2 linked regions of the Drosophila melanogaster genome follow. The protein of the gene in region 1 interacts with the protein of each later gene in a pairwise test. Each region holds a gene or a part of one and is shown in the gene's direction. Other genes may lie near its edges.

The links.
Region 2: the proteins of Mob3 (region 1) and e interact in a two-hybrid assay, tested with the Drosophila melanogaster proteins (one large-scale study listed by BioGRID).

Annotation. Positions count from the first base shown.
Region 1 is NT_033779.5:10,263,240-10,267,155, forward strand, and holds Mob3 (MOB kinase activator 3), read left to right. Parts: upstream 1-2,096; 5' UTR 2,097-2,280; coding exon 2,281-2,322; intron 2,323-2,381; coding exon 2,382-2,532; intron 2,533-2,587; coding exon 2,588-2,711; intron 2,712-2,767; coding exon 2,768-2,871; intron 2,872-2,958; coding exon 2,959-3,074; intron 3,075-3,140; coding exon 3,141-3,266; 3' UTR 3,267-3,331; downstream 3,332-3,916. Other genes in the region: Rsf1 (repressor splicing factor 1), read right to left, coding at 1-179; REPTOR-BP (REPTOR-binding partner), read left to right, coding at 969-1,025, 1,310-1,394, 1,525-1,646, 1,708-1,800; CG4953 (uncharacterized protein), read left to right, coding at 3,571-3,613, 3,674-3,916.
Region 2 is NT_033777.3:21,230,874-21,238,798, reverse strand, and holds the start of e (ebony), read left to right. Parts: upstream 1-1,621; 5' UTR 1,622-1,904; intron 1,905-5,765; 5' UTR 5,766-5,781; coding exon 5,782-6,889; intron 6,890-6,955; coding exon 6,956-7,123; intron 7,124-7,210; coding exon 7,211-7,925. UniProt on the Drosophila melanogaster protein: Nonribosomal peptide synthase which is required for the regulation of histamine and dopamine levels in various tissues through their condensation with beta-alanine.

The DNA of each region.
Region 1 (3,916 bases):
TCGGCGTCGTCGCGGTGCTCGAACTCGACGAACGCAAATCCCGGCGGATTGAAGGCTATCCACACCGAATTCAGCTTGCCATACTTTGTGAACTCCCCCTCCAGATCATCCTTTTTCACTTTGTCGGTCAGATTGCCGACATACACCCGTGTCCCGCGCTGATCACCCATGCTGGACATCTGGATTCACTGTTTCTGATTCGTTTTCGGAGTTATCCTGCAAATCGGATAGCTGCCTTGAAAAATAAATAATCAATAAGTTATCACCACCGGACAATTTAGCGTTTGTATCTATATCAACTTTTCGACCAGGGTGGTTAAACTCGTTGCAAAAATGCTAATTTTCAAAAATATCCTCGCATTTGGAACACTGAGAATGGACGTGTGTTGGGATGTATTTATAGTTTAACGGCCCCGTAAAAAGGGACTTCCCGCTGCTCTAGTGACTTGTATTTTTAATTATTTTTATACTTTGTGCTGGGAAATGTATCATGGTAATCTGAATAATACGTCAATTTAATTTATATAATTTTATAAATATTTGTATGATCTTTAGTAAAGTAAATAAAGTAAAACAATATATAAAATGTTTGTTAATATATAGCCGTGTACTTTTATATTTTCTTCAAACCCCAAATAATGAATAATTATATTGAACATTTATTAATTATTATTTAATTAATTTATAATTTAACTATTATCATAATTTAACTATTTAAATATAATGACTATTATCATTTTAAGTCATTAAAAGAAAATTTGTTACGATTTAAACTTTATTTATATTTTTGTTCTTAAATATAAAATACAAATAGTTCCCTTAATGTGTTCCATTCCATCGTTTCTGTTAAGATATATTTCGATTGGCACCTTTGTGTGTAGTGGTTTTGTTTATTGTTACCTTGAGTATTTACGAAAGACGCATAATAACAAAGAGTTGCAAAGTTGTTGTATTATTTGAGAGTTATAATGGCTGATATGGAGATACAGAGCAACAAAATGTCAATAACGGAGGAAACACAAGTGGTAATATATTATTAAATATAAAAGATGTGGTCTTTTTGTTTGAACATGATCTGAATTGTTCTAATGCGCAGTAAGGCCTTGCGTGTATGTATATACACATATATAAGCTATCTTCTGTGTATGCGTGTATATACATATGTGATTTTTATCATGCAAAAGCGCCTATTTTCAAAAAAGATTTTAAGTTTGACTTATCGGAACTAAATTTTTGCGAATAAGAATATTGAAAGCAAATTGTTTTTGGGATATCGTCAAATATTTACATTTTATATTATATTTATAAGCAGACGCGCAAGGAATGTGGAAAAAGGGGACGAAAACCAGGAAGAAAGACGTCTACTGAAAAATTGGACATGAAAGCCAAACTAGGTAAGAACAACATTAATTTCCACTTATAATACTTAAACAACGGTATTATTTTTAATAGTAACAAAGTTTCCAAACACTAATACATGTTATTTCCTATGGAATTTTATATAACGTGTATTTTCCCTTGCAGAACGCAGCAGACAAAGTGCCAGGGAATGCCGGGCGCGCAAGAAGCTGCGGTATCAGTACCTGGAGGAACTGGTGGCGGATCGGGAGAAGGCTGTAGTTGCTTTGCGTACGGAACTGGAGCGCGTCGGTATATAACTTATCATGCCACGTCCAACCAATTTATTTATTCTCATCTTTATTGCAGTTAATTCAATGGAATAACCAGTTGAGCGAAAGCAACACTCCAACCAACAATGACCAGTTACTTCAGGAACTCGGAATCCTCAAACAAGAATAACCTACATTCTTATTTTTAGCTTAAGAATATTACTTTTATAATAAATGTACGACGGTTACTATTTATATTATTACGAAAATACTGCAGAAATTTTTGTTATTTTCTATATTGCATTTTACAGCTTTTTATTGTTTCATTTGTATAGTGATTAAAGCCAAATTAAAGTATTTTTATGATAAATAAGAACTAATTAAATATTTGTTATTTAAGGGTGTTAAACCAATTGGTACACTGGAACAGTGATATATGGAACGATTATTCTAAGGGTTCGATAACTTAGTCGTGAAAAGCCTATCAATGGTTTCTCCCATCTCTCCATCGGCATAAAAATACAGAATAGTCTAAGGAACTGAATAAATGTAAACATTATTTATAAACAGCCATTAATAGTTATTCAATTGACAAACTTTTGTGCTGTAAGCAGCGCTTACATATGTGCCAAAATATTCTCACAACCAACAGAATCTCCAACAAGATATTATGGCTTTAAATGGATTTTTAGAATTCTTCCAAAAGGGCAAGGTGTGTTTGGTCAATAACAAAATCATATGCAGTTGATGTATTTTTAAACTAATTTTCAGACCTTTAGGCCAAAAAAGCCATTTGCCTCCGGAACCATTAGGTATTCCTTACATAAGCAAGCCCAGGCCAGTTTGCAATCCGGGATTAATCTGCGGCAAGTGGTGCGTTTGCCGCAAGGGGAGAATCTCAACGACTGGCTAGCTGTGCACGGTGAGAATTGTGAATTATACAATATATACAGTATACCCAACGTTGTATATTTCAGTTGTGGACTTCTTCAATCGCATAAACTTGATCTACGGCACCGTTTCGGAGTTTTGCAACGAAACTACGTGTCCCACGATGTCTGGCGGTTCCAGATATGAGTACTTATGGGCCGATGGAGATCTGTAAGTGCAGGAAATGATATTGCGAAGAGCATAAACTAATGTAGCTACGATTTCAGATACAAAAAGCCAACCGCCCTTTCAGCCCAAAAGTACATTGAGCATTTAATGGACTGGATTGAGACACAAATTAACAACGAAGCTGTTTTTCCAGTGTCCACGGGTAGGAAATTATATACTTTCCTTTTAAAGAAGCCCTCTCGCATATTTCGTATATGAGTTATTTAATGTGTACCATACTTCCTTTCAGATGTTCCATTTCCCAAGAACTTCATAGCAATAAGTCGTAAAATTTTAACCCGTCTTTTTCGTGTTTTCGTCCACGTCTATATTCACCATTTCGATCGGATTGTGAGCATTGGAGCGGTGCGTATCACTAAATAGTTACTTTAATTAACTCTATAAACTGTTAAATGTTTTCACCACTTTCAGGAAGCTCACGTGAATGCCTGCTACAAACATTTTTACTACTTTGTGCAAGAATTTGACATGATTTCGGCCAAGGAATTGGAACCCCTACAAGAAATGACATCTCGAATTTGCAAGGATAAGGATTGAAAGTAATTCGTACTAGATTGTGATGTAAATATGTATTGTTTATTACAAAATAAATAAGCGAACACAAAGCTTGGTGTCCTTTTCTTAATAACTAATTTTATAATTTTAGTTTTTCAAATTTATTGTTTGTTGGTATTATTTTCTCATCAAAATGGTGTGTTAGGGGTACTCCTCTGTAAAGACTGGTATAATAAAGTTCAATAGACTTGGTCGCACCGATGTAAACAGAGTTTTTCGCATTAAGTAAATTAAATTGCTGATTTATTTTTGTTAAAGTTAAGCACTTCTTAGAGTATTTTACAACATGGAGATGGTTGAACCGGATGCGCACTTGGTGGCACTCAAAGGTAAACTCTAGTTGTAATGCAAATTATGGACAAAGTGTGATGTTTTTGTTGTTTTCTTAGTTATGCGTTTGATGCGGCCCACTTTGGTGGGCCTTGGACCTGTGGTAACCTGCGAGCCCACGGATTTGGTCCAGAGATTTAGCAGCTCCCAGGAGAGCGACGGAATGTCCGGTGCCTGTGCGGAGACCTTGGCGGCCGGCCAGGTGCTACTGCTGCCGCAGTCCTTCGGCAGCATTTACCTGGGCGAAACATTCGCCAGCTACATCTGCGTCCACAATACCACCCCGAATCCGGTGGAATGCG
Region 2 (7,925 bases), on another chromosome or scaffold:
AAGTTGTTCAATTGCCGACAATTATTTTTATGAAAGCAACTTATTTTATTAGCGCTTTTAATGATTTACTTGTTCAAATAAAAATAAAATTTAATTGATTACAAATCTCCTGACTATTACACAGATTGTTATTACTATTAATAATTATTTCCATTTACAATGAAAAATCAGTTCTTAATTCTTGAACTCACAAAGTAATTGCTGAATTGGTCAGTCTGTCATATTTCTGCTATTAAAATCAAATTGATAAAAATGCAAATGGTAATGATGGCAATCGACAGCTCCAAAGTGTTAGCCCGCATCGCAATTTGGATTTACTGGCGTTGATTCTTGTACGAAACACTCATGATTCGCTAATTAAAAATCGATTAATTGGATCGAACATTAGTGTTTGATTGTGCCAGGGCTTTCTTTAAGTATTAAATCAATCAACTGATTAACCTTGGCACTGCAAACAATGATCAACTTCAGACTTTCCTACAAAGTAGTTATGAAGTCCAATTGATTCCGACTGTGCATCAAGTTCGACTGCATTCGAAGGCAGTAGATACATAGTTATTGAGTAATGATTGCACTAAAAGTCAGGGGACAAGCGCCTTAACTGCAAATTTTCACACTGACTTCGTAATGGGAAGCACAACATGACGGCTGGCATATGTTAGCAAATGCAATCCCTCTCACAAATCCACTGATATGTATGAACACCGATCTGCCCAACTGACAACTACAAATTGCAGCGACTGCGATCCTCGATCGATTTGAAATTCCAATTTTAATGCGATTTTACTTTCGCACGAGTACTAACAACCTACTACTAACAATTGCGAAGTTAATGCTACAATAGCCACTACTCTTGGCCATAAACTCGACCATTTTTAGAAGCTTTGCTAGCTATTAAATTCTAATACCAGTTCATGTGGAATAGTAAAATCCGAATAGTGCGGAAATAATATAGGCTGTGCACTTAAATCCAACATTTGCTTCAGAATTTTAAATATTTACATACCTTAATAAACTTTATCAATACTAATACATAATAATTCTCAGTTTCAGTTTCATTGTATAGCTAAGAGGGACGCACTTTTTCCTAGATTTCCCTAAAAGTACTACCATATCACTTAATTACTAGTATTGTTTGTTAGCTCCTGCTTAAAAGGAGGACTAATTTAAATCATCTTTCCACCTACGCGTAAGCAGTGGCCATCTCACCTTCCCCAATCCGCTGTGAGCTGTGTGTGTCACTCGAGGGATTTCCAAATGGTCTGGTTGGCAGAAAAGTAGTAATCAAAGTGTACAATTCGCCTGCCAATTAGTGAGTGAGGGGACGGCGGGGAATTTCATTTCATTCCATTTCATTTCCTACGTCACCGCTCGGCGGTCCGCTAAAAAATGGCGAGCCAAGTAAAGCGGTACCAATGCTAATCCGGCGTCCACACACTGAGCGCCCGCATATGGGTATGTGTGGTATGCTGCGAGCGGTAATTGCAGGGGCTGTAAGAGCAGGAACTGGTTTTTTTTTTTCAGTCATTCTTCGCCAGCCGAATGCGACTGCGCTGCCGGCGGCGACTGCGGCAGCGGCGGATCGGTCGGATATATAAGATAGTCGGGGGCTGGGATTCTGATTAGTCTGCGAGCGCCGTTTACAAGTACATAGCACGTTGAGTTTCCCGAGTGCGTTGCAAGTTTTTTGGGTGCCCCCCAAAATCAAAGTGAAACGCTAAGTGAAGTGACCAGAAAAAGAAGTTTAAAGCTGGTAGACTCACTCTCTCATAGTTGAAAATATAGAAGGAAAATCAAATTCAAGAAAAACGTGCTTAGTGTGAAACGGCCACAGATAAACATTTGAAAAAGGAAATCAAGAACCTGTTCAAAAAATCCAGTGTCAGAATTTGTTATTACCCACGGTACGTATTACGTGATTATCAAGTATTTATTTAGATTCGGCAAACTCGCTTTCCCGAAATTAATGTGCAAATTGACTTGACATGCATGCTGAGGAGCAGTTAACAAAATATTTCTCGCGTTATTTAATGGCCGAATTAAGTTCCTTCGTATATAACGAAACTTACTTCACATCCGACAGAAATTACATAAAATTCATTAAGCTGAGAATATTACAAAAAAGCAGAACGACGAAAAATGTAATTAGTTTCAAGCATAAATTAATGGATTCAACAAATTGTTTTCACCTCGCTTCACTCGACGTCGACATTTTTGTGGGCTAAGGTTTTCGTTGTCACAATGGCCAAACAATTATGACTTTAAGGAAGTCCTCAAATCGTTGTTAGTTCCAAACTAAAGTTTTTTAAGTAGCAGGATTTCTAATACTTCGATTTGAAAGGCGCGATTAGAAGACCAGTTTTTCTAACGAAATCGTTTTGAGGAAGTAAACGAGTTCTAAACTCAAGAAGGAAACTGGATTCGCCTAACGGCTCGTTCCTTGGGAATGCACTCCAAATGCAAAAGGCAACCAGAATTCGAGGCGCGGCGAGGTCAGAAGAGGCATTGCATTAGTTCAGTGATTAACGAAGCTCTTAAACTCGGACTTAAGACCTTCTTTTCTCAGAATACCAAATTGTTTTCTCAGCGTTTAGCGCCTGACTACAAACCACCATCGACATACTAAAGGCTGGCATAAGTAACCAGCAAATGACATTTAATTTGTCTTGGAGCGCTTAGTAAAACGCTTGTTATTAAGAGCGGCCAACGCGGCGTATACTTATTGACGGTAGCCAGCAGTGATGGATTTATAATTGCAATTGAGTCATTGGCCAAAGCGATCGGCTATTAATTATGTTAAGTATGTGCTAAACGAGTGTCGCATATCGTTTACAAGTGCTTTTTATGGTGCACAATTTGCATTCGCCGACTTGAACTTGGCTCGTTAATGAGCTCGCCAACTGATTCCCCCATTGACGTAAGGCACTTGGCCGAGATCGTTAGTTTTGACCGTTTGCTGGTCTTGAGTGCGGTTTTGTTCTTTTCCAAATACTCGTACAATACGAGCTTGTCATCCAATTGACTCACAATCGGAAATACTGCGGAAAACGGCAGCGGCGGTGGGGAAAACAGAGAAAAAAACCCAGCACAGACAAAAAAACAGATCACACTCACCGGGACGACCCCCAACAAAGCCGTGCAGATGCAATGGTGGGGCACCGCAGCACCGCTTAAATTAGACGCTTTTTACTCAATTAGGCAAATCAGTGCCGGCAGAAAAAAGACATAATAATACATTCAATCAATGAACAGTAGTGGACTTCAGCATAGAGCCCTGTTGTGTTTTGATTCCAACGACCGCCTCCCACTGCGGTTCGACAAATTAATTAGCCACACTCTTCGGAATTACTACCAGCGGAAACATTTGCGATACTAGATAAACCACGCGACCTTAGGCAATGTTGTTGATCCGCCAAGTGCAACAGCCAACACAGCCACTGGCAAACGGTCTTTCAACCCGGCCAATAATTATGTAAATTACAGATTACATGGCAGGCTGATAATTATGGAACGATTTTCCAAAAGCGCCAGAACCTCCAAGCCCAACTGAAAACGATCTAACGCAAATGCAACCTTGGTCGGAAAATTATTAGCAGCACTCGTCGTACTGCGGCGGTCTTAAATGCTTTTCGATTGCGCTGCTACTAGGTTTTAATGCTGGCTATTTGGTTTGTTTTCGTTGATTTAATGGCAATAGGGGCAAAAGTAATAACACTAAAGCAGCCGCATGGATTTCACCTCATCAACAGAAGCAGCGAAGGTGAACAGAACAGAAGTCGCTGGATGCATTTAATCGATGATGTGAAATGCCAAGAACCAAAGGGGCTCAAGAATGCACTCGAGTGGCGGGACCAAAACAATGGACTGCGTCAGCATTGTATGCAGATAGTATAGTACTAGCTTGCATACTATATATGCTCAAATAAATACACATGTAGTACTATACATATATAGTGGGCAAACATAGTGCAGGTTGTCTATGCAAGTGAACAAACTAATTGGACTCACACGGCGCATACGTAATGGGCGCTTGGGAAATGATTTAAGACTAGCCTTGAATTCGTTACGTATACGCCCCGTAAACCGTTGTAAATTGCTTGGCTGCCAAAAAAATGTATGCCAGTCGAGAATCAGAACCAAGCAAGTCCGAAAACCAGACCCAGAAGCCAGGCGGCGCATTTTCAGCTCTAAAGTTGCGCAATTGAAGTATAACTTGTTTCGAGCTCCCCAGCCGCGATGGTTACAACAAGCTACCACAACCATCTCCACCTCGACATCCACCCTTCACTTAAACTTCCACAACATTTCCTCCTCGGCTGGAGAAGAAGCGGAAGCAAATAAATAATTCATAGCGCACTGCCCCAAAGAAGCTTCCTGACTACCTTGCCTTTCCCAGCGCCAACGCCCGCTCAACTGCTCCACTTCCCCGATCGAAGTCATTCAACGAGGCCTCAAATCTAATGAAATCAAATTTTCAAACCAAATCAGAGATTAACATTTGCTAAGGCCAGGGGTATGGCACGGGTAATTGTCGTTCTTGGGCCTCCAGACGGCAGCTTGTCTTCATGTTTTGGATTAGAGCGCTTGACATTGGAGCCGGGCAGAATCAGATACAGGTAGTAGACCAGAAGTGGTCGGCGCAATGACATTTTTGCTGAGTTTTATAACACGCCAATGGAACTTAACGAGCATGAGCAGCACAAAGACCTCCACCAATCTTCGCCAGCGTTTTATGGCGTCACGTAAAATGGGACAGCGACTGGTGCCTCTGGCAATTGGCTAGCTCCATGCAATTAACGAGTTAGCATGCCGCATTCCGAGCGCTTGTTTAGGCTTTTGGCCAAGTCCAATGTCCGAGATACAACAGTTGAGCCAGCGTAACTCCTTCAAGATGAGGCATTTTATGGAGCTAGGTTATTCAAAACTCGAAAATTATTATTTTTATTTTTAAGGCACATTTTTTTAGGAATAAATACCTGGCAATGTAAACGTGGATTTTCAAAGCCGGAACACATCTCAATTCATAGTGTAAGCCCACATAGATTAAACTGACCGTAATTAGTAACGACAAGCAGGTGGCTATGCTAATGCATTAAGTAATATTTACTAAAGTTAAGGAGCTCTCTAGTCTCCTATTAGACAAACCTGTAATGAAAGTATGACTGATAGGTTAGGGAAAAATATGGTGCTAAGCGAATAGATAAAAATGTCGCCATAATTTAAAATAACATGTGCCTGTTGCTAAGCGTTTAGTCGCAAAGAAGAAAAACTAACTTAACTATTACTGAAAATAAAATGAATGAGTCTTTATACTCCACGCCATTTAGCGAGAAATAAGAATTCCAACTATTTCCATAAGGCTATTCTTAAGTACTGATATAAATAATAAAACATTAATAAAATCGTATTACCCTGAAACCCTTAATTATCAAGTCATTAACATGGAATATCGAATTCCAGTTTACTTGAACTTGCAATCTCTGCAGCTTAAGAGACAGCAATTTAATTGAATAAATATAGCTCAACAGAAGCCATCCGTTTAAGCCAGCTCCCATATTCATACTCATTCATTATAATAGTTTATTGTGCGAGCGCTCCATTAACACGAAGTGTTATAAATATGCATGTATGAATGAATTTAATTGCTACCGCAAGGCAGCAAGGCATTAGCCTGCATTGCATAATACGAGCTGGGAATGATGATGTAACCTAGGGATTCTCCGACTGAGATTCTAAGCCCAAAACTAACAAAGTATTCCCCACAGTTAATATATCTTCAAGATGGGTTCGCTGCCACAATTGTCGATCGTCAAGGGTCTGCAGCAAGACTTCGTGCCTAGAGCTCTGCACCGCATCTTCGAGGAGCAGCAGCTGCGGCATGCCGACAAGGTGGCTCTGATCTATCAGCCCAGCACTACGGGCCAGGGAATGGCGCCCAGTCAGAGCAGCTACCGCCAGATGAACGAGCGTGCGAACCGGGCAGCCCGCCTCCTGGTGGCCGAGACCCACGGCCGGTTCCTGCAGCCAAACAGCGATGGTGACTTCATCGTGGCTGTGTGCATGCAGCCGTCGGAGGGATTGGTCACCACACTGCTGGCCATCTGGAAGGCTGGCGGCGCGTATTTGCCCATCGATCCCAGCTTCCCGGCGAACCGCATTCACCACATACTGCTGGAGGCGAAGCCCACCTTGGTGATTCGCGACGATGACATCGACGCCGGCCGTTTCCAGGGAACTCCCACGTTATCCACCACCGAACTGTATGCCAAATCCCTCCAGCTGGCCGGCTCCAATCTGCTCTCAGAGGAGATGCTGCGCGGTGGCAACGACCACATCGCCATCGTGCTCTACACCTCGGGCAGTACGGGTGTGCCCAAGGGAGTGCGTCTGCCGCACGAGAGCATCCTCAATCGGCTCCAGTGGCAGTGGGCGACCTTTCCGTACACCGCCAACGAGGCGGTGAGCGTTTTCAAGACGGCCCTAACCTTCGTGGACTCGATTGCGGAGCTATGGGGCCCGTTAATGTGTGGCCTGGCCATTCTGGTGGTGCCCAAGGCAGTGACCAAGGATCCCCAGCGATTGGTGGCCCTGTTGGAGCGTTATAAGATCAGGCGTCTCGTACTGGTGCCCACCCTTCTGCGCTCGTTGCTCATGTATCTGAAGATGGAGGGAGGCGGAGCTGCTCAGAAACTGCTGTACAATCTCCAGATTTGGGTCTGCTCCGGAGAACCCCTATCCGTTTCCCTGGCCAGCAGCTTCTTCGACTATTTCGATGAGGGCGTGCACCGGCTGTACAACTTTTACGGATCCACGGAGGTATTGGGCGATGTCACCTACTTTGCGTGCGAGAGCAAGAAGCAACTGAGTTTGTACGATAATGTGCCCATAGGTGAGCCTTAAACTCGGGTTCTAAAATTTCCATGTCGTGTATAACCCATGATCTCTTATCCTGAAGGCATTCCACTGTCGAATACCGTGGTCTATTTGTTGGATGCCGACTATCGTCCGGTGAAGAACGGCGAGATTGGGGAGATCTTTGCTTCGGGTCTCAACTTGGCCGCTGGTTATGTTAACGGACGCGATCCGGAGAGGTTCTTGGAGAATCCTTTAGCTGTGGAGAAGAGTAAGTTGTCCATCTGATATCTTCTGAATACATTTCAAAATGCATTCAAGTTAGTTATTATTACTTAATCCGACTTTACCTCTCCAGAATACGCCCGTTTGTATCGCACTGGAGACTATGGATCCCTGAAGAACGGCAGCATCATGTACGAGGGACGCACCGACTCTCAGGTGAAGATCCGTGGACATCGCGTCGACCTGTCCGAAGTGGAGAAGAACGTGGCCGAGCTGCCGCTGGTGGATAAGGCCATTGTTCTGTGCTACCATGCTGGTCAGGTGGATCAGGCTATTCTGGCCTTCGTCAAGCTGCGCGATGATGCCCCCATGGTCACCGAGATGCAGATGGAGGCTCGTCTCAAGGACAAGCTAGCCGATTACATGACGCCGCAGGTGGTCATCCTGGAGCACGTTCCATTGCTGGTCAACGGCAAGGTGGATCGCCAGGCGCTGCTCAAAACCTATGAGACGGCCAATAACAACGAAGGTGACTCCAGTATCGTTCTGGACTTTGACTACTCGCAGGTTCCTGAGGATCTAAAGCTAACGGCACGGGATCTCTTCGAGACAGTGGGCGGCGTGATTGGACGCTCCACCAGAGCAACCCTCGCTCCGCACAGTAACTTCTATGAGCTGGGCGGCAACTCGTTGAATTCCATTTTCACGGTGACGCTGCTGCGCGAGAAGGGCTACAACATCGGCATTTCCGAATTCATTGCGGCCAAGAATCTGGGCGAGATCATCGAGAAGATGGCGGCCAACCATGATGCAGTGCAGCTAGAGGAGGAATCCTTGAATGCTTGTCC